Cricetulus griseus: one gene and its partners. The protein of the gene in region 1 binds, or shares a complex with, the protein of each later gene. Links are inferred from orthologs where the notes say so. Each region holds a gene or a part of one and is shown in the gene's direction. Other genes may lie near its edges.

Region 1 (4,635 bases):
AAAGGGGTTGGGGGGAGAGAGGTGGCTGGAGAGACAGCTTAGCAATGAAGAGCACTTGTTGCTCTTGCAGAGGACCCCGTTTCAACACCCAGCACGATGAATGGCTCCCCTATTACTACCGTTTCAGGATATCCAGTGCCCTCTTGAGGCTTCTGGGTGCTGTACATACTCGCAAGTAAAATGTTTATAGATACATAAACAAAAAACAGAAAGAAGGGCTGCAGAGACGGTCAGTGGTTAGGAGCACCCGCTGTTCCTACAGAGGACCTGGTTTTGGTTCCCAGAATCCACATCAGGTAACTCAGGCTCTCAATCGTCTTTAACTGCAGCTGTGGAGAGGCACCACATCCCGGATCTAAAGGCACTTTTCCACATACATGGTGCCGATACGAAGGCAAGCACGCATGCACATAAATAATTAAAAAAAAAAATCTTAGGGAACCTGCATAAGACCAAACTAGACTCCCTTATCATAGGTGACAATGGTGTGACTGGGACAATATATGAGGCCACTGGCAGTGGGTCCAAGATCTAACTCTAATGCACAAACTGACTTAGTGGAGCCCATCCTACGTGGAGAGATACCTTGCCAAGCCTAGACACAGGGGTGTGGGGCTGGAGAGGCGCCTTGGTCCTGCCTCAGTGAGATGATGGGACAGACTTAGTAGACCTCCCTGGGGAGGCCTCACCCTCTCTGTGGAGCAGATGGGAGGAGGGGGAGTGGAGGGAGGGGTGGAAAGGAGGGAGGGGGAACTGGGATCGGAATATAAAAAGTAAATTAATAATAAAAAAGAGAAAAAAATCTTTTATTTATTTATTTATTTTGGTTTTTAGAGACAGGGTTTCTTGTGTAGTTTTGGAGCCTATGCTGGCACTCGCTCTGGAGACCAGGCTGGCCTGGAACTCACAGAGATCCCCCTGCCTCTGCTGGGATTAAAGGGGTGCACCGCCAACGACCGGCGAGAAAAAAATCTTAAGATACCGGAACTCCCGCCCAACATACATATTTCTAGTAAGTAGCTTTAAATTACTTTTTAAAAATAGTTTTAATTGCCGGGAGGTGGTGGAGCACGCCTTTAATCCCAACAGAGACAGGTGGATCTCTGTGAGTTTGAGACCAGCCTGGTCTATAAGAGTGAGTTCCAGGACAGCCTCCAAAAGCCACAGAGAAACCCTGTCTCGAAAAACCGTGTGTGTGTGTGTGTGTGTGTGTGTGTGTGTGTGTGTGTGTGTGTGTGTGTGTGTGTGTGTGTGTGTGTGTGTGTGTGTGTGTGTGTGTGTGTGTGTGTGTGTGTGTGTGTGTGTGTGTGTGTGTGTGTGTGGTGTGTGTGTGTGTGTGTGTGTGTGTGTGTGTGTGTGTGTGTGTGTGTGTGTGTGTGTGTGTTTGGCGTTGGATTCCCCCTGGAGCTGGAGTTACGAATCGTTGGTTTTGAGCAATATGGGTGCTGGGGGAATCGAACTCGAGTTCTCTGAGCAATATCCCCAGCACCTTGTTCTATGCCTTGTTTCCTAAACCTTATTTCTCTTCCTTTTATCGCACTCTCTGGAAACGCTCTTTCTAGTACACAGGGCTGGTGCTGACCGAGCGCAACATCACCGGGTGGGGGCGGGCGAGCTTGCTGGGTGAGCATCGGGAAAGAGGCTGCGCGACTTGAACCCTCCCAGCCACCGTTAAGCTGCGGCCGGAAGAGCTCGACTCTTTCCGGGTTTGGCGGGTCTGGAAGCCAGTTGAGGGCTGCCCAGTCCGGCGCTCTGCGCTGGGAGACTCTACGGCCACCAGCGGTGCGGGGCCCGCGGCGCTGCAGATCGCTCCCGGCCCCGCCGCCGCCCTGGCTGGCTCGGCGGCTGCGCGCCCGGAGCGGGACGCGTCGCCATGGCGACGCCGGCGGGGCTGGAGCGGTGGGTGCAGGAGGAGCTGCACTCGGTGCTGGGGCTGAGCGAGCGGCACGTCGCGCAGTTCCTGATCGGCACCGCGCAGCGCTGCGCCTCGGCCGAGGAGTTCGTGCAGCGGCTGCGAGACACCGAAACTCTGGACCTTGGCGGGCCGGCGCGGGACTTCGCGCTCAGGCTCTGGAGCAAGGTGTGTGCCGTCCACCCGAGCTGATGTAGACCGCTCCACGCACGCACGCACGCACGCTCGTCTTTGGCCTGGTGATGGAGCGTAAGCTAGCAGTGTATCGGAGGATAGCCTGCAACTTTCAGTGTAGTGCACGGGCTGGCTTCGAACTTGCAGAGACACACAGAGAGAGAAAGACGGAGAGACAGAGAGCGCCTCCCATAGCAGAGAGACCTAGCACTCCCGCCCGGCTCTGCCAAACATCCACCTTTTGCCCTCTGTTACCCCAGGTACAGAGCTGTGGAGGAGACTTAGCAGAGAGGGCTGTGCAAGCATGCTTAAACCTAGGGTCCTGTTAGCCACGGTGAATACAGTGCAGCCCCCCCCCCCCCAGGGCTGAGGACGTATCTCAGTTGGTAGAGTGCTTGTCTAGCGTACAGTAAGTTTGGGGTTCAGTCCCAAGTACTGGGGGAAAGTCGCTGAGAACAGTGGAGCCGTGGGAATTAGCGATTTAGACATAGGATGGAGACCCGGAGAGAACCCTTGTTGCTCTTCGGGAGGACTGAAGTTCCCAGCATCCAGGTCTCTTGTGGCACACAGGTACCCATACACGTAAATAAATAAAAGATAAATGTGAAAAGGGAACTGGGTTGTAGAATGTAAACTACTTGAACTCTGGGCCTTTTTTTTTTTTTTTTAAATTCTGTTGTGGGGCTAGAGAGATGGCCCAGAGATTAAGGTCACTGGCTGCTCTTCCAGAGGTCTCTGATTCAATTCCAAGCACCCGCAAGGCGGCTCACAACTGTCTGTCACTCCAGTTCCAGGGGATCCAACACCCTCACATAGACACAATGCAGGCAAAACACATGCACATAAAAAATAAATCATTTAAAAAATATCCGTTTGGCCGGGCGGTGGTGACGCACGCCTTTAATCCCAGCACTCGGGAGGCAGAGGCAGGCCTGTGAGTTCGAGACCAGCCTGGTCTACAAGAGCTAGTGTTCCAGGACAGCCTCCAAAGCCACAGAGAAACCCTGTCTCAAAAAACCAAAAGAAAAAAAAAAATCCATTTGTGGGTGGATGTCCGAGGGCAACCTGTGGGTGCTGGGTCGCGCCCTCCACCATCGGGTAGTTTTCAATAATCATTTGCTAAACAGATGCATGGAAGGAAGTTCAGACGCTGAGGGCCCGATTGAGCAGAGAATGATGACGCCTGGTTTGAGCTCGAGGCTGAGGCAGGAGCTGCTCACAACCGCTTGTTTCCGACTCACAGGTACCACGGAAGGCTGTGGTAGAAAAGCCAGCTCGGGCAGCTGAGCGAGAGGCCCGAGCCCTGCTGGAGAAGAACCGATCTTATAAGTTGCTGGAAGACAGCGAGAGCGGGGAGGAAGCGGTGGGCAGCGATTCGAGCAGCCTCCAGAAGAAGCGGAAAAGACGGAAACACCTCAGGAAGAAACACCACGAGGAGGAGGAAGAGGACGAGGAAGAGGTTTCTGAGGCAGGGAAGAGGAAGACGGGGTAAGTCAGAACCGAGGAGAGAGGGAGCCGGGGCAGGTGGTTGGCCGTGGGGATGATACGCTTTCTCGATACCCCTCTTTGATGATGCGCTGGGCTGGGTTCAGGGACAGTAAGTCACCCACGGAGGAGAAGCCGGCCTCAGAGGATGAGTGGGAGCGGACAGAGCGCGAGCGTCTTCAGGACTTGGAGGAACGGGATGCGTTTGCAGAGCGGGTGCGGCAGAGGGACAAGGACCGGACCCGGAATGTCCTGGAGCGATCAGATAAGAAGGTGAAGAACAGGGCTGGAGAGATGGCTCAGAGGTTAAGAGCACTGACTGGTCCTCCAGAGGTCCTGAGTTCAATTCCCAGCAACCACAAGGTGGCTCAAACCACCTTGAGTGAGATCTGGTGCCCTCTGCTGGCCTGCAGGCAGAAGGCTGTATACATAACAAATAAAATCTTAAAAAAAAAAAAAAAAAGGTGAAGAACATTGCTAGGTACATCTGGATTTGGTTGCAGAGGTGTCGCTGGGAAGACAAGGGTTGTCGCTAGGGTTCCTGTGTGGGGAAACAGGGTCCTGTGAGCTTTCTGGTTAAGGGCCTCACTGCTTGGTGGAAATCACAGAGGCTCTTCACTGAGAAGGGGCAGTGAAGGACATTTGTCATTCTGAGGGGAATGGTCGTAGATGTGCATATCTTTTGGGCCTCATGACCCTATTTACCTGATTTCTTCTACCCAGGCTTATGAAGAGGCTCAGAAACGCCTCAAGATGGCTGAGGAAGACCGGAAAGCCATGGTGAGACCCCGGGTTCAAGAAGCAAGATCCAGGGCTGGAGAGAGATGGCTTAGAGATCAAGCTGGTCCTCCAGAGGGCCTGAGTTCAATTCCCACCAAAACAAGGTGGCTCACAACCACCTGTAATGAGATCTGGTGCCCTCTTTCTGGCCTGCAGGGACACATGCAGGCAGAACACTGCATACATAATAAATGTCGACAAAAGAAAGATTGATGGAGCGGTTGGCCATGGCGGGAAGGGCTGGGGAGAGAGTGTGGTGACTGTGGGGTGGTTGCTCAGTCCGT
Region 2 (4,422 bases), about 7.8 Mb from region 1:
TCAGAAATGGCAAAGGGTGCCTGACAGCAGCGGTGGTGCCACACCTTTAATCCCAGCATCTCAGGGAGGGGAAGGAAGACAGAGGCAGCCGGATCTCTGTGAGTTCCGGGCTAGTCTGGTCTACGAATCGAGTTCCAGGACAGCCAAGGACTGTTACACAGAGAAACGCTGTCTCAATAAAAAAACAAACTAACTAACTAACAAACAGGACAAAGGGTAATGAGCCAAGCTGGAACTTGGTGACAGTGACTGATTTCTTTCCAAGAAAGCTCATCAGACAGTTAAAAAAAAGAAAGTCTATTTGGTAAGATAAACTAACAATAAAACTGATTCTGATGAAATTGATGTGTTTTGATAGGTGGATTTTAACAGCAAGATAGAAGCAGCTCAAGAGGAAAGAAAGTTGAACTACTTGAAGTCATTTCAAACTCTTGGATACCTCTTTGATGAACCAGTAGTCTGGCAGCATGCCAGATTTTAGAAGATTTCAAATATTCTAATTTTCGATTCCCCCCCCCCCCATGAGAACCTATTTGCCTCTCACTCTTGGTTAAGAAAATCCGCGTGCTGTATTTCCACCTTGGAACACCATAATGACGGCATCCGGACAGTGACAGTTCGCTGAGGTTCCAGTAATCCTGTTACCCCTGTGTAAAGGTGTGAGGTGTGAATAATTCCATCGCCTGCTCCTCCCCTCCCCGCACACCCCTGCGTAGTTCTCTCCTAAGCCGGGAGAGCTGCCGTCCTATTAACCTTCTTGGGCACGAACTGGAAACCTCCGTAATCTACACAGCGGCTGGAAGGAGGCCTCTGTGGCAGGACGACGCTTTCCGAAAGCCCGTGGGTCGGAGACCTCTAGAGCTCTGCAGCCGAGAGCGAGGCTGCTTCGCAAAGAATCCCAGACTTTTCAGTCTGCTTTACCCGAGCTGCGGCGGAGGGCTGGGAGGGAAGCCCGGGGCCGGGGCCGGGGCCGCCCGAGCCGCGCAGGGGGTGGGTGCAGCGCCGCGGGGGGGGGGGGGGCGCTCACACGCTCCGCGCCGTCGGGGACGGACCAGGCCCGGCCCGGGCGGACCCCGGCGGCGCCCGGCCCCCACCCGGACAGCGCGTTACCTGCAGCAGGTGCAGCTGGGCCACGAGGCGCCGCGGCAGGCGGAGGAAGCAGTCCCGAGCGTTCGTGAAGGCCACCGTCACGACCGCCCCGCCCGAGCCCGCAGCCGCCGAGCGATCGCCGCTCCACATCGTCCCGGCCCCGCTCCCCCGAGCCCGCCCGCTTCCCGCGCAGGTCGCGGCGTCCGCCGGAGCCCGGGGCTGGCGCTCGATCGGCCGCTCGATCGGCCCCGCCCCCTCGTCGCCGGCCCCGCCGGCGTCACCCTCCCGTCGCTCCTCCGAGACGCGAGGGGGCGGCACACGGAGGACCGAGTTCGCGCTCCCAGGAAACGATCGTCGATGGCGTCGATTGCCCGGCCAATCCAAGCACGCGCCAGCCACCCTGCCCTCTCATTGGCCACGGAGGAGGAGGAGCGCGTCCGGCGGATGTTGTTGTGGCGCTGGGGGTCGCCGCTGGCAGCATGGCGTCCAGTGACGGGAAGCCGGGGAGCGTTTTCGATCACCACGTGCAGACGGCCGTGTGTGACTCGCGGGCCAGGTACCGGGAGGGCCGACGCCCTCGCGCCGTCAAGGTAGGGCGGCTGCGGTTTCCTCGCGTTCCCAGGCCCCCGGGCGGGGGCGGCCTTGGTGAGGAGGGCCTGACGGGGACGCCGCCACAGAGGGGTCTCTCCCCGCGGGAGGCCCCGGGACCGACCGGAGGTCAGCGCTGCGCTCCTCGCCGCTCCGCGCCGTCGAGCTGACAGGAGCGCTTCCTCAGCGCGCGCACTGGCGCCCGCTGACTGGGGTAGCCAGGCGCCCTCAGGGGGCCTGTGTTAGCCGTTAGCCGGGAGCGACAGTTCTGCGTGTGTGTTTACAGGCGGAATTGACCAGAGTATTTCTTCTTGCTTTCAAAGCTCCTTTTTTTCTTCTTCTTCTTCTTCTTCTTTTCTTCTTCTTTTTTTCTTCTTCTTCTTCTTCTTTTCTTCTTCTTCTTCTTCTTCTTGCTTTCAAAGCTCCTTTTTTTCTTCTTCTTCTTCTTCTTTTCTTCTTCTTTTTTTCTTCTTCTTCTTTTCTTCTTCTTCTTCTTCTTCTTCTTCTTCTTCTTCTTCTTCTTCTTCTTCTTCTTCTTCTTCTTCTTCTTCTTCTTCTTCTTCTTCTTCTTCTTCTTCTTCTTCTTCTTCTTCTTCTTCTTCTTCTTCTTCTTCTTCTTCTTCTTCTTCTTCTTCCTTCTTCTTCTTCTTCTTCTTCTTCTTCTTCTTCTTCTTTCTTTCTTCTTCTTCTTCTTCTTCTTCTTCTTCTTCTTCCTTCTTCTTCCTTCTTCTTCCTTCTTCTTCTTCTTCTTCTTCCTTCTTCTTCTTCCTCCTCCTCCTCCTCCTCCTCCTCCTCCTCCTCCTCCTCCTCCTCCTCCTCCTCCTCCCAGAGCGACAGATTTGCCATAGGCTTGCTTGTCTGCGAGGTACATTTATTGATTGAGGGTTTTTTGTTGTTGTTGTTTTTTAGGTATACACAATCAATTTGGAATCCCAGTACTTATTAATACAGGGAGTCCCTGCAGTGGGAGCCATGAAGGAATTAGTCGAGCGATTTGCTCTATACGGTGCGATTGAACAGTATAACGCTCTAGATGAATACCCAGCAGAAGATTTTACAGAAGTTTATCTCATCAAGTTTGTGAAATTACAAAGTGCAAGGTGTGTACAAATTAAGCAGTAGCTATACCCTGTGTTCCTGTTGCTGTCATTTCGGCCCTGGGGTTTTCCCAGACATATCCATGTCACACAAACACTCATCACCCTAGATCTTCCCGTTTGTTTGTTTGTTTGTTTTTGTTTGTTTTAGAGGGTCGTGACAGGGTCTCTGCATAGCTCTGGCTGCCCTGGAGCTCACTCTGTGGAACCAGGCGGGCCTCAAGCTGAGAGAGCCTGCTTCTGCATCTCCAATGCTGGGATTAAAGGTGTTTATCACCACCAGAGGTCCTGAGTTCAATTCCCAGCAACCACATGGAGGTTCACAACCACCTTGAATGAGATCTGGTTCCCTCTGCTGGCATGCAGGCACATGACTGTATACATAATAAATAAATAAAATCTTTAAAATTTTTTTTAAAAGGCTGACTTTACAAATACAAAGCTGTTTCCATCGTCTCATATCTGTGCTTCACAGTTTTTGAACCAGTAGTACGGTAGATTCAGAATTACATTTGAAGCAAATTTCCAGCCCTATGTCCTCATTACTTGGTAGTGTTTTAAATCCTGATAAGCACATTTTTCTTCTTCTTAAAATCCACACAGCAAAAAGGTCTGCTTCTTGAGGTTCCCTGACTGTGGATGAAATGAAATAATTTATGTACTCCCTATTAGGAGTAAATATTAGCAATGGCAGTTCTTATTGTTAAAGTTCTATGCTAATCACCTTCTTTTTAATACTTACATATGACATAATTCTTGTATTCCAATAAGGTGAAGTCAACAATGCTTTATTTTGGGGGGAAGGAGTGTGAGTGTGTGTGTGTGGGGGGGGCTAGAGGTCAATGTTGATTGCCTTCTTCAGTGTTCCAACTTTTATTTATTTATTTATTTGAGACAAGTTTTAATGTGTAGTCCTGGCTAGCCTAGAACTAGCTAGGTAGACCAGGCTAAACTTAAAACTTAAAATTTAAATTTCCTTCTGACTCTACTAGGTTTAAAGGCATGTGCCACCACACTGCGCTCTGTTTTATTCATTTATTTATTTGAGACAGGATCTCTCACTGAATTTGGAGCTCATCAGCTAGACTGGTTGACTGTCAAGTACCAGTGATCCTTGTACCTCGCCCTTGCCAGCACCAGGATTGTAGGCATACAGCAGTGCCCAGCTTTTATGTGGATGCCAGGGATTCCAACCTAGGCACTGAGCTTATGCAAGTGCTTTTGTGACTGAGCACTCTCCCTAGTTCATGTCAGCCATTTTTTTTTCTTTTTAATTAGTAACCTGATTTAAAGTGTATCTTTGTCTGACTTTTGCTATTGATGTAACTTCATAGTAGAAAACGGCTTCAGATTCCCTGGAGCTGGAGTACAGGGGGTTGTGAGCCACCCAAGGTAGGTGATGGGATTTGAATCTGCTCTTCTGCAAGATCAGCAAGTGCTCTTATCACCAAACCATCTCTCCAGCCCCTCATATTTCTTTTATATGCTACTTAGCCCACCACTAAAGCATTTGACTTCAAAGGGCTGTGTGCCTTTCTCTCCAGTTGGCCAACTCTTCATGGTTAGGAAGGCATATGGACTAGTGTGCTTTTGTATTTCCACAGGACCTGATACAGTTGACTATGGAGTCAGACATCCCAACTGAATC
Region 3 (3,905 bases), on another chromosome or scaffold:
GGGGAGGGGCTGGAGAGATGGCTCAGAGGTTAAGAGCACCGATTGTTCTTCCAGAGGTCCTGAGTTCAATTCCCAGCAACCACATGGTGGCTCACAACCATCCGTTATGAGATCTGGTGCCCTCTTCTGGTGTGCAGATATACATGGAAGCAGAATGTTGTATACATAATAAATAAAATCTTTTAAAAAAAAAGAAAGAAAGAAAGGGGGGATTAAAAAGAGCCTTAGCAATTAGTATTGTGTTGTATTGGTCCTCCTCATGAAGGAGACAGTATTTGTTACTGACATGGAAGCTGCTGGCTCATAGTTGTGTTTGTTGCTTGACTGGTTTGGATTTGCTTTGTAGTGCGAGTCTGGGATGTCCGGCCCTTTGCTCCCAAAGAGAGATGTGTGAAGATATTTCAAGGAAATGTGCACAACTTTGAAAAGGTGAGTGGTACCTGCCACGGGGGATGATTTTACTATCCATTTGATCTGAAGAAACTTTTATAGTGATACTAAGGATAGAGAATTGTTGACCCACTGAGAATGAGTGAAGTCTGGTAACCAGCATCATTGAAGCTGCCCTCTCTCCTGCTCCTGCCTCCCGTGTGCTCAGATCCCAGGAGCATGTCCCCACCCATGTTGGACAAGGCAGCCACACGGATAGATAGCACTGGGGCCAGTCCTCTTTGGTAAGACTTCTGACTTCAGTACCTCCCTAACAGGGCAAGCCTGGCTTTTTATTCCTTGGAATCTCAACCCTGTAAATCAGTATCTGTGGGCCCTGGGCTCACATCGCTGTTACCCAGATGCCAGCTCTTAGAGTCCTGGGTCTACACCCATTCCTCTTGTTATCACAATGGCCTGAGTTCAAGAGAGTTTTTCTGAAACCCTCACGTGTCCAGTCAGCTCTTTTGGAAAGGATTCTTCTGTCATTGAATTTAAGAGAGATTAATGATTTTCTTTTGAGAGTTCCCTGAGATTGTTTTGCCTTATAAATCAAATCTTACTTTTGTTGGGTTTGGCGTTTTTTTTTTTTGTTTGTTTTTCTTCAAGATAAAGCAATAAAGAATAAAAACAAAAAAATAGGATAAAATTTTTAAATGTTGTAATGAGGATCAAGAGAAGTGGAGCAAAGGGAGCCAAGTCTTGTTGTGGGGCTTGTTCTTGATAACTAGGGTTAGCATTTCTGAATCTAGTTTTTGTGTAGTATAAAGTTACAAAGTGGGCTGGAGAGTTGGCTCAGCAGATGAGAGCACTGGCTGCTCCTGCAGAGGACCTGACTTTGGTTCCTGACAACTGCATGGCAGCTCACCGTTGTCTTTAACCCCAGTCCCAGGGGATTCGACCTCTTCTGGCTTCCTCAGTCATCAGGCACACCAGACATACCTGCAGACAAAACACCTAAAATAATACACATAAAATAACAGATAAATATTTAAAGGAAAATAAGTAAAATTATAGAGCATGCTGAGAGGTTTTTTTGTTTTTGTTGTTGTTTGTGGGTTTGTTTTGTTTTGTTTTGTTTTTGAGACAGGGTTTCTCTGTGGCTTTGGAGGCTGTCCTGGAACTAGCTCTTGTAGACCAGGCTGGTCTCGAACTCACAGAGATCCATCTGCCTCTGCCTCCTGAGTGCTGGGATGAAAGGTGTGTGCCACCACCGCCCAGCCTAGAGCATGCTGTTTTGAGCAGGGCTATATTAGCTGATGTTTATTCTGGGGAGACACTCAGTCTCCTAGAAAATTTAGTCAGTTGACTCCTAGTACAGCAAGAGCAATTTGGCATATTAACTGTCCTGTACATTCCTGCTCATTACAGAACCTCCTCCGGTGTTCTTGGTCACCTGATGGAAGCAAGATAGCTGCTGGCTCAGCAGACAGGTATGGGTTCCTGGGTATAAGGTAGAGAATGATGTGGCTATTCAGGTCTCACATTTAATGCAGGGATATGAAGACAACAGACATATTTGATGCCATCTGAAGGACTTAAAGCCTGTGTTGAACAGAGTTGTCTGTCTCTGTTTCCATTTTAGACTGTTGTAATCTGTTGGAAACTCATAATCTCCCAGCTGTCCTGGTCTTTTGCCATGCTTTACTCCATTCGATACATTTGAGACTGTCCTCTCTGGCCATCCCAGTGCTGCACTCTCAAGGAACTGTCAACCTCCCTTGCGCATCCTCACTCACCCCGGGTTCCCTCTCAGACCTCCCTCTCTACTCTAAGACTCTGGGTCTTCCTAGTAACGACTGCTATATCTGACCTTTCCCTGGTACTCTCTCCCCCTTTGTCTCCTTAACATAGCACATTGCTCTTTGCTGTAGTCACACTTCATATGTCTAACTTTTATTAGCATTTCCCCCTCGTACGTTTAGACAAGCATATTGGGATATCCCTATGAATTGCTCTCAGCAGTCAGGGGGTGCATCTTGACATTCTCTGTAAACTCAGGTACTGCTAGTTGATGCTTGAATTGTTATAATCACTTGCTAACAATTATGAGAATGAATTCCTAGGTCAGAGATGGCAGTCAAATTCCACCCTTTGTGTCAACCCAAAATTGGGTTGTAGCTGCCAGTGTTGAAGATGATTCAGAGCCAGGTCTGGGCTCAGTAGAAAGTGCCAGCATTGCTGAGTGAAGTGGGCTGCATGTCGTCTGTTGTGCCAAATAGGCCAAGGCTTTCTTATGTGCAAACTTAAGCTGGTTCAAGGCCTTGTGTTGTGAGTGAGAGACAAGGGAGAAAATATACCCATCAGATGCTGTTGTTCATGTACTAGGGAGGAAATTGGGTGCAGTAGGGATTCTGGGGGCCAAGGACAATGGGCTTATGGGGACTCCTGGAGACCCAGTGGTAGAGGCCTGTAAACCAGGTTGCTCCCTAGCTCATAGCTTTTAGCACACTTCAGGATTCTCTTTGGGGACATGCTTGAAAACTGTTTTGTTTTGTTTTCAGGACATGATCTCCATATATAGCTCTGGCTGTCCTGGAACTCACTCTGTAGACCAGGATGACCTTGAACTCACAACGATGTATCTGCCTCTGCCTCCCAAATACTTGGGTTTGAAAGATGTGTACCACTACACCTGGCTTATGCTTGGAAAATTTTATGTCCTTTTTTCTACCAAACAAGTTTAATGTCAGGAAAATTGGACAAGTATTCAGGCTGGGACAAGTGGTTACCTAAAGGAAACAGTGCTATATTGATGGTTTGCCTCTCAGAAGCTTAGAAAGCCTACCTTTAAGAGTTTAAGAGATTTTCTATTGAGAAAAAGAAAATTTAACCCCACCCCTACCCCTTGGCACCTTGTTGGTGTTATTCTTTTATCAGCTAGGGACAAAGCAAATGGTAATCCTTTGTTCATCCTAGTTTGATGCCTGGCTTGGTGGCCAAAGCTGTTTCATACCTAGAGCACATTAAAAAACAGACAAACAGAAACTTAGGAAATAGACCAGGGAGACTTTCCTGGTGTTTGTTTGCCTGTAACCCAGCACTCAGGAAACTAAGGCAAAGGTCAGAGTTTGAGGCCACTCTGGACTGTATAGTGAGACTGTCTTTTTTTTTTTAAGATTTTATTTATTTATTGCCAATATTTATTTATATGCCAATGCTTTGGTGGGCTTTTTTTTTTTTAAGGTTTTATTTATTTATTATGTATACAACATCCTGCTTCCATGTATATCTACACACCAGAAGAGGGCACCAGATCTCATAACGGATGGTTGTGAGCCACCATGTGGTGCTGGGAATTGAACTCAGGACCTCTGGAAGAACAGTCAGTGCTCTTAACCTCTGAGCCATCTCTCCAGTCCGAGACTCTGTCTTTTAAAACAAAAACACACAAAGGAGTTTGCATTCTCACCGAGTGGAAAGCATTCTTAGTAGTTTTATATCATTTTCCATAGAGATGGTATATCTCCCCTATA
Region 4 (3,905 bases), on another chromosome or scaffold:
CCCACCTGCTTGCTCATTGACAGGAGGTTTGGCCATGCCCTCCTGTCATAATAATATAAGGTGGCCCCATGGCCCTTACAGGGCATAATAGTCTTTTCCCCAAGCTTTCAGCTGCATGGGTCAAGTATGACTTCCATCCATGTGTTTGAATGATGCCTTGTATCTTTGGCCCTGTAGCCCCTGGCCCACAGGGTGAGTGAGCAGTTCCAGCTTGAGGAAGGCACTAGGATCTAGGGGTCATCAAGAATTGTGTCTCAGGGCCTGGTCGCTGTCTTCTGCTTCTGGACAAGGCTCTGTGGCTGACCACTGACTCTGCTCTTCTGTTCCAGGTGGAGAGTCCTACTGGGGCAAGCCTTTCAAAGATGAGTTCCGCCCCAACCTCTCACATACAGGCCGTGGAGTGCTCAGCATGGCCAACTCGGGGCCCAACACCAACAAGTCTCAGTTGTGAGTCCAGCTTTTCTTGCTCAGCTGCTAGGATGGTTTGCAAAGCGCCTGGCGTTGTCCCTAAAGGTTGTGCTGGGCCCAAGTCAAATCCAAGCAAGGGGGTGTTCAGTCAGGTGGAGCACAGGCGTCTCCAGGAAAGGAGCCCAAGTCAGCTGGTAGAATAGTGGTCATGAGTGGGTTCCCAAAGGCCTCTTGGGGTCCAACAGGAAAACCAGGAGTGTGTGGGTACCAGGTGCCATGCAAGGTTGCTGGTCCAGTGCTTTGGGAGGAGGTATTCTGAGGACAAAAGGCCAGGAAGAGGTACTAAGGCTCTGGCTTATCAGAGCCCAGTGTGTGTGGTGGTGGGTGGTAAGGCTCTTGGATGTCTGGTCTTGTGTTTTGGAATAGGTTTGTATTGTATTCTATTCTTCATCAAATCTTAATCAAATAATGTGGCTTAATTCTCCTGGATATGTCTTTTTTTTTTTCTTTTTTGTGCTGGGGTGTGAACCCAAGGCTTTGTGCATGCTAAATACATGTTCTACCATTGAGAACTGTCTCCATCCAGGGTATATCTTTTATCTATGGAGTATAGTTTTGTTATTTTCTTTTTTAAAAAATATTTTGAAACCGGTTCTCATTATGTAGTCCTGGTTCTTGTGGAACTCACTGTGTACACCAGGCTGGTTTCTGCCTGTCTCTGTATACTGGGTGCTGTGTTTAAAAACTTTCACCATCAGGACTGGAAAGATAGCTCAGTGGTTAAGAGCACTGGCTGTTCTTCCAGAGGATGTGGATTCAATTCCCAGCACCCACATGGCAGCTCACTACTTTCTATAACTCCAGTTCCAGGGAATCTGACACCCTCACACAGACAATGCACATAAAATAATAATAAAAAAAAATCTTTAAAAAATGTTCTGTCCATTTCTTCTTTAACTATCTTGTTTATGAAAGGTATCTTTAAAGGTGGCTATCATTTAAAAAAAGACAAAACCATGCCCCATCACAGCTGATTACAGCTTATTTTATGTGAGGGTATTCATGCCACAGTGTGCGTGTGGAGGTCAGATGACAGCTTTGTAGGGTCAGGACTGTCCTTCCACCATGGCATCCAGTCATCACATCCAGGCTGCCAGGCCTAACACAGCAGGTGTCTTCACATGCCAAGCCAGCTTGTCAGCTCAGTTTTGTCATTTTCTTTATGTGGATCTTCTGACTTCCTGGATAATGTTATACAAAGGAATTTTAGTATTTGTTGATTTTTTTTTTTTTTTTTCAAGGCAGGGTTTTTCTGTGTAGCCGTGGCTGTCCTGTAACTCCTCTGTAGACCAGACTGGCCTCAAACTCTCAGAGTCTCCTGCCTCTGCCTCCTGAGTGCTGGGATGAAAGGTGTGGGCCACCATGCCAACTTATATTGATACAAAGTTTCATTATGTAGCCCTGGTTGGTTGTACTAGAACTCTGCCTTGGAGTACTGACATTGCAGGTGTGGGCCATCACACAGCTAGTCAAATCCTCTTTTTTAATTTTTTTAATATGCATTGGTGTCTTGCCTGCTTGTATGTCTGTACGAGGGTATCGGTGTTGGATCTTGAGTTACAGACAGTTGTGAGTTGCCATGTGGGTGCTGGCATTGAATCTGGGTCCTCCAGAAGAGTAGTTAGTGCTCTTTAACTGCTGAGCCAGCTCTCCAGCCCCTACAATCAAATCTTAAAAAAAAAAAAAAATTAAGAAAATTTTTTAGCCAGGCGGTGGTGGCACATGCCTTTTATCCTAGCATCTGGGAGGCAGAGACAGGCGGATCTCTGTGAGTTCAAGGCCAGCCTGGTCTACAGAGTGAGTTCAAGGAAAGGCTCCAAAGCTACACAGAGAAACTCTATCTTGAAAAACAAAACCAAATTTTTTTAATGTGTATGGGTGTTTTGCCTACGTGTATGTCTGTATACTGCATGTAAGTTTGTGCCTGATGCCAGAGGAGGACAGAAGAGGGCCTGGTCCCTGGAACTGAAGTTATAGGTGATTGTGAGTGTAAGTACTGGGAATAGAACTCTTGTCCTGGAAGAGCAGCCAGTGCTTTTAATTGCAGAGTCATTTCTCCTAAGTTTATATGAAGAGTTTCTTTGTAGATTTTTGAACTTATCAGAAGAGGAGACATCTTCAACTTCCCATGTGCACATCAGTCACATTGTCACTGGGTGTTGGAGGTAGGCACATGTGTGTCCTGCTCCAAATGAAATGTGATTTTGTAGTCTAACATTTGTCAGGATAGGTGGCTCTGTTGTCAGAGGTCTAGTTTTTAAATCTGTCTCTAGTCATGTGACTGAGCTGTTGCTGCTTTGTATGGCTAGGAGAGGTGTGCACGTAGAGTCATTTTCTTTTGGCACGGGCTGAGTTTGTACCCTGAAAGAGCTGCGCTCACTTTTGTTTGCTGAGCCCTTTCTCCAGGACATGTGACAGCTTTCCTTTGTCAGCATTTCCTTACAGTCTCTTCAAAAACTTGAACAAAACCTAAATATTCCAGTTGCATTTTTGTTGTTTTTTTACTTGCCTCTTTTTTTTTTTTTCCAGGTTCATTTCATTCTTTTTCTAGCTTCCTTTATTATGTTAGAAATTCAAGAGAGCTAGGTCTGATCAATTCAGTCATCCTTGGTTCCATAGCATAGCCAATGAGCCCTTGTTCCAATGGCAATAACAGGAGTTCAGCTAGTGTGAAGGCTTAGACTGTGCATAGGTGTGGGCTCCATGACTTGCCTGGTGACCTTAGGAGTGCCCTTGCTTGCAGGGTGATGCATCTTCATTACTCACTGAAGGGTCTCTGTGGGCTGTCAGGATGAGGCTTGTGTCCTGTTGTCACAATAGGGCTGAGTTCATGTACCACTTTGTGTAGGGACTGCACTGCAACCCATCCCATAAACTTCCTGCTTTCCATAGTATTTATTTTATTCAGGGATGAGGGCTCACTGTGAGTCCCCACACCACACCCAGCTGTACTTTCCTCCTTTTGTCTGATGTCTTCCAGCGTTCTGCTGTCACCCACTTATAGGCTATAGTCTAGGGCTCCCTCCAGGCTGCACATACATGGCCTGTTTACTTCACCCCTAACCATTGCCTCCTGAAGATAGTTGGATAGCGAGCTCAAGCCTCCACTGTCTCCTGCTTGGCTCTCATGGGATGTTGGCAGCCGAGCTCTGGGATTTCTCCAGAGGTCTGGATTTACTTGGGAAAGGGCAGGTGGCTTCCACTGAGGAGCAGTCGTTGTTACAACTAGAGTATGCTGGGTGGCCCAGCCTGCTGCTTCCCTGACCTCCATGTGCTTTCCCCAGCTTCATCACATTTCGCTCCTGTGCTTACCTGGATAAGAAGCACACTATCTTCGGACGGTAAGAGCAGATGCTGTGCATGTTCGCAGTGCAGTGTGGACCTGGGGATTATCCTCATGCAGTCCCCGGTGAGGACTGTGGGTATTTCTGTGGAGG
Region 5 (4,498 bases), about 160 Mb from region 1:
AAAGTTGGAGGCCAAATGGAACTTCCGGCATAAACATCAGAACAGTGTGGCTGGGACACCTGTCCTCCTCAATAGGAGACAGCATGTGGCAGGGATGAAGAGAAGGAGGTCACTGTGTCTTTGGACAGGCTCTCTTTTGTTGACCTAGTAATGTCAGCTTCCCTTGAGCGTGTAGCTGATAAGACACATGAGCAGCAGAAACAACAGGGCATTTTCTTTTCTGATCAGCTACAGAGCACAGGAGTCATAGCAAGAACAAGATGTTCCTGGGCTGCTTTTATCTTGAGACTAGAAACACAAAAGTTTGGTGGTTGTCTTTGGAGTGCCAGAGTGGGACTACAGTGTCAGGATGATGACACTACAGGTGACCAAGAGTGAGCATGCTATCCTTACCCCATGCTAGCCCTATCAGACTCTTAAGCAATTTGAAATCTGCAAAGGAAGTAAGTAGAGCATCAGGTCCATTGGCTTGATTTTACATTCATGGCAGCACCGTAGAGAGAACACTCAGCCACTGATGTTCAAGAGTGATAGCATTTCTCTGCTTAATCATTTGATTCTCCAGTTAAATCTGTTAGGCCCACAGGTCCTTCCCATAATACCTGGTCCCACTTTACCTTTATCATTGGTCAACAGCAAAGGGTACACTATTTGAAGGAAGATAAAAAGATTTTTATTGTTGAGTGAGAATAGCTTGGTTAATGAGGAAGGGATTTCCTAAAAATCTGCATGATTGCTTTCACACATACAAATGCAGCATTCATATTTATATTCATAAGTAATTTGTCATGTTTCCTCAAAGGGGGGAAAAAAATCCTTTTCACCCTTATGAAGAGCCATAGTGACATCTACTGTTCACAAGAGGCAGCTCACGATGTTAGCTAGTGCAGGGACTCCTTCCTTCCTTTTTCCTTTCCTTTCCTTTCCTTTCCTTTCCTTTCCTTTCCTTTCCTTTCCTTTCCTTTCCTTTCCTTTCCTTTCCTTTCCTTTCCTTTCCTTTCCTTTCCTTTCCTTTCCTTTCCTTTCCTTTCCAAGATGTGGCCCTTTAGCCGGGCGTTGGTGGCGCACGCCTTTAATTCCAGCACTAGGAAGGCAGAGGCAGGCGGATCTCTGTGAGTTCGAGGCCAGCCTGGTCTCCAGAGCGACTGCCAGGATAGGCTCCAAAGCTACACAGAGAAACCCTGTCTGGAAAAAAAAAAAAAAAAAAAACCGCAAATACAAACTACATCAAATATTTTTACACAGAACAACATTTTACCTGGGTAAAAGACAAAACTTCAATACTTTAGCATCAGGCGCAATAAAATAAAAAGTTCTCTATCGTTTTTTAAAAACTGCTTAGGATCTCCTTGTTATTAATAAGCATTAAGCTTCCGGGAACAGGTACCGCCCCTAAGCAGGGCTTAAGGCTACCGCGCTCCCTCTGCTCCCGCCCTGCTCCTGCAGGAGCTCCAGCTTCTGCGAGACCCGCCCCTCCGCCTGGAGACTCCGCCCATTCCCGCCTAAGCCCCGCCCAGCTCCTCCCGGCGGAATTTAAGATTGGGCTCTCAGACTCGAAGCTCCACTCAACTCCGCCAAGTCCTGCCCTCGACCTCTAAGACAACGCCCCTCTCCCCTCTCCGCGCGAGGGTGGCCAATGCGCGTGCGCGGGTGGCGTCACATCCGCCGACAGACCCCCAATCTCCGGAAGGAGCTGCAGAATAGTGGCGGCGATTTCTGCGTCCATCATTTGAGTTTCTTCCCTGCTGGAGGAGTGAGCTAACCCGGGGCGACATGGTGGAGGTAAAGTAACGCCTGGGGGTCGTTTATCTCTGGAGCTTTGCTTTGCCCACGAACGTGCAGGGTGAACGTGCTGGGAAAATAGGGAAAGGAGCTTTAGCCAAGGTTGGTGGTCCCGGGATTTCGGGGCGAGAGAAAGGCCAATGACATTTCGAATCCGAGGTTCGGTCGGCGGGAAGCCTGAGAGAACCTTGAAGTCCCTGTGTGTCCCTGGGAGCTGGCGCTGTCCTCGGAGGCGGGCCTTCCGTGGATGGGATGCTGGTCCAAGCTCTTGTCAGTTACTGTTACTTAGGTTCTACTGGAGTAAAGCTTGCCCTTCTTCTCTTTGGTTTTTCGAGACAGGGTTTCTCTGTGTAGCTTTGGAGACTATCCTGGCACTCGCTCTGGAGACCAGGCTGGCCTCGAACTCACAGAGATCCGCCTGCCTCTGCCTCCCGAGTGCTGGGAATAAAGGCGTGAGCCACGAACGCCCGGCTAAAGCTTGCCCTTCTTAATTTTCTGTTTGTTTTTTTTTTGCATATCCCAAGCGTTTCTTAATTTCACCCACTGCATTTCAGCTCCCCTGCAGTCTTCCTAATCTAGCCCAGCATCTTTTGCTGGGACTGATGAATTAGCTTCTAGCTGGTCTAAGGGCTGGTGCTTAGCGAACACACTGAAGGAGTGTGTGGTTCGCTTGTCTAGCATGCGCAAGGCGCTGAATTCTGTCTCCAGTACCACAAGCGTAAATAAAATATGAATTGGTCCTGCTTTTCCTGCTTAAACCTCCTTTCTGGTTCAGTATTACTAAAATAAAAATGTAGGTGGTGACAGCAGTCTGAACCTCACCGGCCCTTGATGCCTCATTTTAGGGAGAGGGATTGGAGATAGGGTTTCTCTGTGTAGCCCTGGCTTACTTGCATTCGTTTTGTAGACCAGCCTGGCCTCAAGCTCACCTGCCTCAGCCTCATGAGTGCTGGGATTAAAGGCATGTGCCACCACTGCCTGTCCTTGAAGCCTCATTTTGTACTACAGCCCCAAATCCCACAGCTTTCACAACTGTGCTGCAGTTCTGGCATTATTTGAACACCTTTGCAGTGGCGTTTTCCCTCAGTTTGCATGGTTCATACCTCTGTTCCGTGTAAGACTGTCTCCCTTTCTGTTTAAATACCACCTCATATAAATCTTTCATAATTATCATTTCTATTTTTTCTGTGACTCATCCCATTACCTGTTTTCATAGAGCCTCCCAAAATGTGGAATTGTTTTCCTTATTTTTGACTGTTATTTCTTGAGCACACTACATGCCAGTTACAGCACGAGCTCAGTAAATGTTGATTAAACAAATTACTATCCTAGGCTTCATTCACTTGCTTTGCCCAAAGCTCCAGCCAGACAGGAGCCTTCTCATCTTTGTTGTTGACTGCTGTACTTTGTTACAGATTTGTGTGGAGTGTACATCCTTCTGTGTATTTAACATAACCATTCTAGTGTGGATAAGAATGTGTGCTTCACTTGCAGTTGGATGTGTGATTTTGGTTGTTTCTTTACAGGAGGTGCAGAAACATTCTGTACACACACTGGTGTTCAGGTCATTGAAGAGGACCCATGACATGTTTGTATCTGATAATGGAAAACCTGTGCCTTTGGATGAAGAGAGGCAAGTTTTTATTCCTTTTTAGTAGTAAAATATTTGAACTTTGAACTTTTAATAGTGGTAGAATAGCGCAGAGAGAAGGTGACCGTTTGTTGTTGTTGTTGTTGTTTTTTTTTTTGAGAGAGAGAGAGAGAGAGAGAGAGAGAGAGAGAGAGAGAGAGAGAGAGAGGGTAACTTTCAAAGGTCTTAAAGTGGTACTGACACTCATAGGATACTTGGGCAAGTGGCTTTTAGTCATAATATCAGTAGAGTTTACTTGTTATTTTTCTATTTTATCTTTTTTTTTTTTTTTAAAGATTTTACTTACTTATTATGTATACAGTCTTCTGCCTACATGCCAGTAGTGGGCACCTTAGATGTGCCCTCTTAGATCACCTTAGATCTGTAATGAGATCACCTTAGATCTCATTACAGATGGTTGTGAGCCACCATATGGTTGCTGGGAATTGAACTCAGGACCTCTGGAAGAACAGTCAGTGCTCTTAACCGCTGAGCCATCTCTCCAGTCCCTTGTTTTATCGTTTACAGTAAAAATACCATTAGCTAGTCATAGAAATGCCCACTGTAATGGTTTTAAGGAGAACAGCCCTAATAGGCTCATGTATTTGAATGCTTGGTCTGTAGTGGGTAGAACTGTTTCAGAAGGGTTAGAAGTATGTCACTGGGGTCGGCTGTGATATTTCAAAAGCCCACACCATTCCCAGTTAGCATGCTCTTGCTCCCCCAACACCCATGCTTGTGAATCAGATAGAAGCTCTTAGCTGTGCTCCAGCAACATGCCTACCTGTCGTCTTATGCACCCCAGTATGATGCTCAAAGACTAACCCTCTTGAATTATGATCCCCAGATTAAATACTTGGTATGTAAATTACCTTGGTTATGGTGTTTTGCCACCGAAGTAGAAAAGTAACTATGTTACCCAGTAATTCAGAGCATTCCTGTTAGGTTATTTTATTTTTAATGAATCACTTTGAGTTTTCAGCTTCTTGCTCTGGAGCCTTGATGAGCTGAAATTGTACTTGCCCAGTACCTACTCCCATCTTTACTCCTTAGTAGAATGAAGACTTTTGAGCATATTTTGGTTGT
Region 6 (3,905 bases), on another chromosome or scaffold:
TAAATAAATGTGATTTTTAAAGTTAAAAAGAGGCAGGGGTGGCACATGCCTTTAATCCTCGCACTCAGGAAGCAGAGGCAGGTGGATCTCTGAGTTCCAGGCTAGCCTGGTCTACAGAAGTTCCAGGACAGCAGGAACTACACAGAGAAACTCTTGTCTTGAGGGAAAAAATAAAAAGAAGAAGAAATCTCATTATGTAGCCCAGGTTGACCTGGAACTCAGAGATCTGCCTGCCTCTGCCTCCCAAATGCTAGGATTAGAGGTGTGCACCACACACAGCGTATTCTCATATATCTTGATGGTCTAGTTGACTCATCTCTGACTATCAAGAGTTCTTTGTAACTGGCTCTTTCGTCCTTTTGACCTACCTCATCATGTTTTGAGTTCTTGCTTATTTTCTTACACACTTGCCCTACCCTAGTCGTAAAACCAGCCATTTCTTCAACAAGCTCTGGCTTCCTATATAGTGGAGACCACTATCTGGGGGTGTTCATTGCTGCTTTGATGCTTTGCCTCCAGGCCCATTCACTGAGCACAGCTAGGTAATACCCACCCACACGTCTGTCACTCTTCTGCACACAGGTGTTGAAAATGTCACTTGTTCAAACTGAGTGTCGCTTTGTCTGTCTGAAATCACGACACACGGGAAGTAAGGGGATTGCTAAAAGTTTGAGGCAGGCTAGGGCTACAACCCAAGACCTTACCTCAAAAAAATAAAACAACAATAACAAATAAGAAAATGGCTTGTTCGGCCAGGCATGGTGGCATATACCCTATCATCCTAACTACTGTGGAGGCCAAGGCAGAAAAACAGCAAATTTGAGACTAGCTTGAGCAAGGTAGTGACACCCTGGTTCAGAAGAGACTAAAACAGGGAAGGGATTTAGCTCAGGGGCAGCATTCCTCAAATGTCCAAGGCTCTGGGTTTATTCCTTAGGATCACTGACAAGGGGCTGGAGGTGGGTCACAGCATTCATTTTAATACTTCCTCATCAGTAAGTTCTTCCTAGCGTTCTCAGTGCTGAGAAGCTTTGGTCCCAGCATGGCCGTTGTGTTTATTTGCTTTTTAGTCTTGCTGTGTAGGTGCCCCCTTCAAAAGAAATTAAGGTGTAGGTGCCCCCTTCAAAAGAAATTAAGGTGCCTTATTCAATAACAAATAAGAAAACAAGCCATTTTCTTATTTGTTATTGTTGTTTTATTTTTTTGAGGTAAGGTCTTGGGTTGTAGCCCTAGCCTGCCTCAAACTTTTAGCAATCCCCTTACTTCCCGTGTGTCGTGATTTCAGACAGACAAAGCGACACTCAGTTTGAACAAGTGACATTTTCAACACCTGTGTGCAGAAGAGTGACAGACGTGTGGGTGGGTATTACCTAGCTGTGCTCAGCTTCACAGCCCCGAGTCTGCCTTGCGGATGATGCTTCCAGCTGACACTTCACGCCCAGGCCATTTCCCCTTTGTACAGAAAGTGTTGCGAATGTCGCCTTCCCCCCTACTATAGATGTGCTCTCTACTCTTAGTACCCACTTCCCGCTTCAGAGCCCTGTGTTTCTCAGGTGATGCTGAACACAGAGCGGCTGATTAAGCATGCAGTGCAGGAGAGGTTAGCAGTCACCGTGTGCATCAACAAAATCGACCGGCTGATCTTGGAGCTGAAGCTGCCTCCAACAGATGCTTATTACAAACTTCGACACATTGTGGATGAGGTCAATGGATTAATAAGGTATAAGACCCCTGGGAGTGGACTTCCTGTCCTTAGGAGAGTCTGGCTTTTATAAATCTTAATTTTACCCTTGAAGACTTCTGGGAGTCCCTCACTTTGTGGCATGTGGGTGATCCTGTCAGTTCTAACAGCACATGTCGGGTCTCTGCAGGACTGCCTGCAAGCCTCTCCTCAGCAGTTCAGTGTCTGAACCAGCCACGCGGTTTAGCACATCCCTGGTTCTGTAGTCAGTAGACTCTAAAGCAGTCTCACCTTTACCACCTGCCAGCCATGTGAAGTTGGCGATTACCAAAGCTCATTATTTACTTACCTGTTTATTTAGATATCTGGATGTTTAGCTGCACATATGTTTGTACACCGTGTACATGTCTGGTACCTACACTAGTCGGAAGAAAACAGTAGATTCCTTAAAGCTAAAGTTAAGGAGAGCTGTGAGTCTCCATGTGGGTGCTGGGAACTGAGCCCAGGTCCTGTGCAAGAGCAATGTGCTGCTCTACCTGCTGAGCCTTCTCTTCAGCCCCCAAAGGTCATTTTTGCTTCTATTAAACAAACAAACAAACAAACAAACAACCCCGGATACAGTGTGGTGGCATATGCCGATGGTCCCAGCACTTAGGAGGTCAAGGCAGGAGGATTAGAAGTTTGAAGCTAGTTTGGAGTACATAGCAAGTTCTAGGTTGGCATGAGGACCATGGAGGGGCCCTATCTCAACAACTCACATTAGGGCTGAGTAGATGGCTTGGTGAGTAAAGTGATTGCTTCATGAAGACCTGAGTTCAGGTCCCTAAAATCCATAGAACAAGCTAGGATGGTACCTCCCATCTGTGATCCAGCACAGTGTGGTGGAGACAGGGAAACCACGTGGCTAGGCAGTCTGGCCAATTGATGAGCTCCAGGTTCAGTGAAAGAACCTGACTCAAAGATCAAAGTGGAGAATAATAATAAAAAATGACACTCGGTGTCAACCTCTGGTCTCTGTGGGTGTGTGTACCCACATACACAAAAATAATTAAATTTAATTAAAAAAAAATAAGATGGGCATAATGGTCCACCCCAATAATCCTGACACTCAGGAGCTGAGGCAGGAGAGTTACTATGAGTTTGAGGTCAACATGGGCTACAGAGTGAGGCACTATCTCATAAAACAAAGAGGGCCAACGTGATGGCTGAGCAGATGAAGGACTTGCACAAGCCTAACTGCCTGTATTCAATCCCCAGAACCTACATAAAGATGGAAGGACGGAACGGACCCCACACTCTGACCTCTATAGACACCCCACACATACATGCCATACACACATACAATCAATAAATGAGTCAGCAGAACTTTTTTTTTAACTAAGCAAATGAATTGCCTATTGGGATGTTAAAAGAAATTAAGTAGCTAGTTGGTACAGCTCCCTTGCCATATGGCACCTGCTGCTGAGTGATGTTGGCTGCTCTGTCTTACTGATAACACAGGGTGTGTAAATGAAGAAACTTTACTGTGTGTTCTGCAAGCATCTGCTTCATAAGAAGATGGAAGATTTAGTTAGAATTACACATGTAAGTTGCTTTGAGGCCTATGTTAGCACAGTTGCTGTAGGATATGGTATTCTGTGAGTCTGGAGAACCCAGCACAGGCCATCTAACTCCTTAAGCCCCTGGGCCTCCTGCCTCAGCCTTCCAAATGCTGGGATTACAGGCCAGTGCCTCCACTCCTGGCCTTCCGAATGACTCAAGTTGTTTGCAAAGTTTAGGTCTGGGGTGTAGCTCCATCCGAGAGCACTTGCTACTATATGCAGGGTCTGGGTTATGCACTCTGCAAAATAGTGAAATGAAAGTTTCAGAATTTTTGAAACAAGAAGCCAAACAGAGTAAAGAGAGTGACAGCGAAGAGGAGCAAATCTGCCGTTTCTCTTTTTTCTCAGTGTTGTTTATCTGTCCTGTCCTTACCTGCATGTCCCCCACCCCTAGACAGGGTCTGCTATAGCTCAGGCTAGCCTGGAACTTCTACAGAGCCAAGGATGACCTGGAACTTCTGATCTTCCTGCCCTAAGCTGTCATATCTAGTTCATGTGGTACTGGGGTTCAAACCCAGGGCCTCGTGAGTGCTGGGCAAGCTGGCCCAGCCCTTTATATGCCCATTTGTATTGGGGCAGTGATGTCTCCTAAATGTGTCCCTCTCTGGTCACATTAGATTCAT
Region 7 (3,905 bases), on another chromosome or scaffold:
CCCTGCCCATCTCCTCAGCCCCTATTCTGTTTGTTGGAGAAATTCAATAAATAAAAAACAAATAAATAAATGATCTTTTAAGGTAGGCATGATATAATTAAAGTAGGCCTATAGCTGGCTGGGTCACAAAGAAATTAAATAAAAAATTTAAATATTTAGAAACCCAGATTTTAAGCATGAGTTAGTATAACATGAGTTAGTCTTGTTAAAAAATGTTTTGAGGGCCAGAAAGCCTTGCTATGCTATGTAAGCCTGACAGCCTGGGCTCAGTCCCTGGAGTTCATGAAAGGAGGGAATCGGTTCCCAGATTGTCTTTTGACCTCCACATGTGTGCCATGGAGCATGTGTGCCCACAGTCTCTCACACATACATCATAGACATTCACAGGATAGTATGTGAGATAAAAATTTTAAGTAATTTCTAAAGTACTGCTAATTTGCTGAGACAGATATTATGTATGTATTTTTAACATAATCAGTTTTGAAGCATTCCTTCTTCCTTCTTTTCTCTTTGGAAGCACTCCTCTGGTCACGACAGAAGGGAGAGCCACAATTCATACCACCGGAACTCCTCTCCAGAAGACAGGTAACTGCTCTGTGTGCCAAGTGTGAATTTTGTGTTTTCATCAAGAAACTTAGTTCTCTGATTCTTCATTTTAAGGTGGACATTGAAGTGCTGCTTTTGTTGTTCTGGCTCATGGATACATTCACACAGCTTTTTATAGCTAAATTTTTATTTACATCATAGCATAATTATGATAAAATAAGCAATCTAGAAATAGTACCAGTAATGTGCATCATGCATTCTTATTAGCACTACAGCTGTGTCCCTTACTAAGTGAGGACCATTAAAGTAATTCCGAAAGTGGAATTGTGCACTTCATTCCTACTCCACTCTGCCAGGGTCTCCCAGGCCCTTCACTTAGGAACTTGTGACCACTTACTACCCTCTCCAGTCACATCAGACATACACAAGTGTAAGGTAATTGTAAATATATCTGTAAAACCCAAATTATATTACCATGTAGGTTATATATTTAACTTCCCTTAATGGTCTCTGACTTTATTGAGTTTGAAGAGTCAAACTGTAGATGTAACATGATCCATCTTGTTTGTCTATTCAATGTTCCCAGCACTGCAGCTTCCAGAACAGCATTCAATAATTATAATGCTTGGAATAGAGTCAAATAGAACAAGCAGTGATTGATGCTGGTCTAATTTGTTCAGTGTAGCTCCAAGGAGGTATTTGTAAAGTAGCCTCTTGCTGCCCGATATGTGTAGTTTCCAGATTTATCCCTGTGTGAATAAAGATGAGTATATTGGGTTAAGTTAATTCCAGGCATCGTTTTTGCTGTGTCCATGCTGGAAGCTTTTGTAATTCAGACTGGATAGGTGCCAGCACAATGAGCCATTAGTTAAAGCACTTCATTATGATGTTGTGCAGTCGTACGTTGTTTGGCATCACTAATATCTGACTTTCCAAGTCTAACAAAGTTGTTTTCGATGAACAACTTGGGTTTTCTTCTCTGTTAGATATGCAGAACAAGAAAGGTCCCCCCGGGATAGAGATTACTCTGATTACAGCCGGTCAGACTATGAGCGTTCAAGAAGAGGGTATTCTTATGATGACAGCGTGGAGTCACGGTGAGTGTTGGGGATCTTAACTGCAGAAAAGTAAACTTTTCATCGTGTACATGGTACTTGTTTTGTTTTGGAGACTGAGTCTCACATATCCAACTTCTGTCTACCTTCTGAGCTTCGGGATTACTGTCAAGCCCAGTTTGAGTGCTGGGGGTCTGACTCTGATTTTGTACATGTTAGTATGTACTCTGTTAAGTTACTCCGCAGCCTGAGTTTCCTTTACTTGTGTAATAGAAACGAAGACTATAGCAAACTCATTTCTTTCAACTATGGGCATGCTGGATTCACTATTTCTTAACAGCGTTATCCTGGTCTTGATGTCCATGTTCAGTTTTGCAGTACATATTATTGTTAAAGATTGTTATCCTTCTCATTTTGGTTTTTCAGCAGGGTTTCTCTGTGTAGCTCTGGCCTATCCTGGAACCCTCTCTGTAAACCAGGCTGGCCTTGAACTCACAGAGATCAACCTGCCTTTGCCTCCTCAGTGCTAGGATGATAGGCGGGCACCACCCCTGCCCAATTGTCATCCTTCCTCTAACCAGCTTCCAGACTAAAGCTTATATAAAGCCTTGAGCCCTGGAATAAGGGATCTTTTTCTCTGTAAGGTGTTACTTCACCACTCTGAACCAGTTTCATTTTCTGTGGTCTTACTCATTCTATGTGTAGTTCATTGTAAGAATGATTTTATGCTTTGTCCACCCCCCCCCACCCCATTTTACAGAAGTCGAGACCGAGAAAAACGAAGAGAAAGAGAAAGAGATGTGGATCGGAAAAGGTCTCGGAAATCTCCATCTCCTGGAAGAAGGAGCCCAGAACGAGCAGTAACCCAGAGTTCTACTCAGGAGGAACCTAGCATGAAGAAGAAGAAAGATGAGCAGGATCCGCTGCTCACCCGAACTGGGGGAGCATATATTCCTCCCGCAAAGCTCAGGATGATGCAGGAGCAGATCACAGACAAAAACAGGCATGGTGATGTACTGCATCTCCAAAACAGAGATAGCCTCATTGAACAAGGGGTAGAGTAGTGTAATTAGTGTCAGCTGTTAAGAATGTACTCGGTTTACTGTGATAGAGACCACAAATTACAATATCTTGTCTTTTTGACTTCAGAAATTTCTTTTGAACATTGTACGCTAGTTGCTCTGATATTAATTCATAACTTTTTTATGTTTCTCTCTCTCTCTCTCCTCTGTGTGTGTGTGTGTGTGTGTGTGTGTGTGTGAGAGAGAGAGAGAGAGGGAGGGAGGGAGGGGAGGGAGGGAGGGAGAGAGAGAGAGAGAGAGAGAGAGACTTTGAGTGTTGAGTATTAGTTCTCAGGCACTGTCTTTTATTTATTTACTTACTTTTTGGAGAGTGGGTTTCTCAGTGGCCTGAAACTTGCCAAATAGGTTAGGCTGGCAGGCCAGCAAGCCCCAGAAATGCACGTGTCTCTGTATTGCCGTATCTATTACTAGTGTGTACCAGTGTGACAGGCATTTTTTACATGGACTTGGAGATTGAACTTCCGTCCTTGACAGTGATCTTTGAGATGTAATATTTGGGAGAGTTTTAGCAATGACTTCCATTAATGCAAACTTCATCATCATCATAAAGGCAGCATTGGAAGAATTAGTGAGAAGTATTTACTTTTCCTGATCCAGTCCAAAGCAGATTATTCAGTCAGGAAAAAAAATGTTATTAATTGAATTCTTGCATCTAGAGGTACAATAGGCAGGGGAAGAGTTAGCAACATATGGGATTTTAAGCAGTTCTAGGAGATAATTCATATATGGTGGAGGTCTGTTCATGGTCAGAAGGTACAGTAGAAATGGAGGGGGAGTCTGTAGGTTTTCCTTTGAGTTGACCCATGATAGGGTGGAAGGACAGCTCCTGTGTTAGGAAAAGCCATAGTGCTTGATGTTTTCCAGTTTCCTAGGAGGTTGTGCTTACATGCTTGCAATATCTTACTAAGTTACAGACATATTTCTCTAGATATGGCTGATACCTAGGTGTGTGCAGTAAGCAGTTATGAGCTTGACTGACAGAGAATTTTGAAGCAACAAGAAAGTATTACTTGCAAATGTGCCTGTCAGTCTGCCTCTTATCCTCATTGCTTACTGGCAGTTTTAAACAGTGTCAGGGACCTAATAATCCACCAAGCACTGTTCACACTGCTCTGCTACACAGGGATTCTATAGGTTCCTAGAGAGGATTCAGGTAGTCCGGTCACAAATCTGGACTGGGGAAATGCATTTAATTTTTATTAATCCCCAACTAAATTTTAGC

The links.
Region 2: Dhx16 (region 1) and Rbm48 share a complex: the UniProt entries of both Homo sapiens proteins name them as parts of the minor spliceosome. The link is inferred for Cricetulus griseus from reciprocal best matches to the Homo sapiens genes DHX16 and RBM48.
Region 3: Dhx16 (region 1) and Snrnp40 share a complex: the UniProt entries of both Homo sapiens proteins name them as parts of the minor spliceosome. The link is inferred for Cricetulus griseus from reciprocal best matches to the Homo sapiens genes DHX16 and SNRNP40.
Region 4: Dhx16 (region 1) and Ppil2 share a complex: the UniProt entries of both Homo sapiens proteins name them as parts of the minor spliceosome. The link is inferred for Cricetulus griseus from reciprocal best matches to the Homo sapiens genes DHX16 and PPIL2.
Region 5: Dhx16 (region 1) and Plrg1 share a complex: the UniProt entries of both Homo sapiens proteins name them as parts of the minor spliceosome. The link is inferred for Cricetulus griseus from reciprocal best matches to the Homo sapiens genes DHX16 and PLRG1.
Region 6: Dhx16 (region 1) and Eftud2 share a complex: the UniProt entries of both Homo sapiens proteins name them as parts of the minor spliceosome. The link is inferred for Cricetulus griseus from reciprocal best matches to the Homo sapiens genes DHX16 and EFTUD2.
Region 7: Dhx16 (region 1) and Cwc22 share a complex: the UniProt entries of both Homo sapiens proteins name them as parts of the minor spliceosome. The link is inferred for Cricetulus griseus from reciprocal best matches to the Homo sapiens genes DHX16 and CWC22.

The regions. Positions count from the first base shown.
Region 1 is NW_023276806.1:229,782,397-229,787,031, forward strand, and holds the start of Dhx16 (pre-mRNA-splicing factor ATP-dependent RNA helicase DHX16), read left to right. Parts: upstream 1-1,699; 5' UTR 1,700-1,873; coding exon 1,874-2,080; intron 2,081-3,329; coding exon 3,330-3,574; intron 3,575-3,678; coding exon 3,679-3,844; intron 3,845-4,294; coding exon 4,295-4,351; intron 4,352-4,635. UniProt on the Homo sapiens protein: Required for pre-mRNA splicing as a component of the spliceosome. Contributes to pre-mRNA splicing after spliceosome formation and prior to the first transesterification reaction.
Region 2 is NW_023276806.1:221,965,065-221,969,486, reverse strand, and holds the start of Rbm48 (RNA-binding protein 48), read left to right. Parts: upstream 1-1,521; 5' UTR 1,522-1,568; coding exon 1,569-1,679; intron 1,680-2,586; coding exon 2,587-2,777; intron 2,778-4,422. Other genes in the region: Pex1 (peroxisome biogenesis factor 1), read right to left, coding at 1,111-1,239. UniProt on the Homo sapiens protein: As a component of the minor spliceosome, involved in the splicing of U12-type introns in pre-mRNAs.
Region 3 is NC_048595.1:22,665,146-22,669,050, reverse strand, and holds part of Snrnp40 (U5 small nuclear ribonucleoprotein 40 kDa protein), read left to right. Parts: intron 1-346; coding exon 347-429; intron 430-1,800; coding exon 1,801-1,862; intron 1,863-3,265; exon of another isoform or gene 3,266-3,398; intron 3,399-3,905. UniProt on the Homo sapiens protein: Required for pre-mRNA splicing as component of the activated spliceosome. Component of the U5 small nuclear ribonucleoprotein (snRNP) complex and the U4/U6-U5 tri-snRNP complex, building blocks of the spliceosome.
Region 4 is NC_048597.1:72,241,503-72,245,407, forward strand, and holds part of Ppil2 (RING-type E3 ubiquitin-protein ligase PPIL2), read left to right. Parts: intron 1-329; coding exon 330-447; intron 448-3,752; coding exon 3,753-3,809; intron 3,810-3,905. UniProt on the Homo sapiens protein: Has a ubiquitin-protein ligase activity acting as an E3 ubiquitin protein ligase or as an ubiquitin-ubiquitin ligase promoting elongation of ubiquitin chains on substrates.
Region 5 is NW_023276806.1:71,283,919-71,288,416, reverse strand, and holds the start of Plrg1 (pleiotropic regulator 1), read left to right. Parts: upstream 1-1,628; 5' UTR 1,629-1,773; coding exon 1,774-1,782; intron 1,783-3,308; coding exon 3,309-3,415; intron 3,416-4,498. UniProt on the Homo sapiens protein: Involved in pre-mRNA splicing as component of the spliceosome. Component of the PRP19-CDC5L complex that forms an integral part of the spliceosome and is required for activating pre-mRNA splicing.
Region 6 is NC_048600.1:115,260,470-115,264,374, forward strand, and holds part of Eftud2 (116 kDa U5 small nuclear ribonucleoprotein component), read left to right. Parts: intron 1-1,553; coding exon 1,554-1,720; intron 1,721-3,905. UniProt on the Homo sapiens protein: Required for pre-mRNA splicing as component of the spliceosome, including pre-catalytic, catalytic and post-catalytic spliceosomal complexes. Component of the U5 snRNP and the U4/U6-U5 tri-snRNP complex, a building block of the spliceosome.
Region 7 is NC_048599.1:97,150,010-97,153,914, forward strand, and holds part of Cwc22 (pre-mRNA-splicing factor CWC22 homolog), read left to right. Parts: intron 1-517; coding exon 518-585; intron 586-1,532; coding exon 1,533-1,643; intron 1,644-2,361; coding exon 2,362-2,604; intron 2,605-3,905. UniProt on the Homo sapiens protein: Required for pre-mRNA splicing as component of the spliceosome. As a component of the minor spliceosome, involved in the splicing of U12-type introns in pre-mRNAs. Promotes exon-junction complex (EJC) assembly.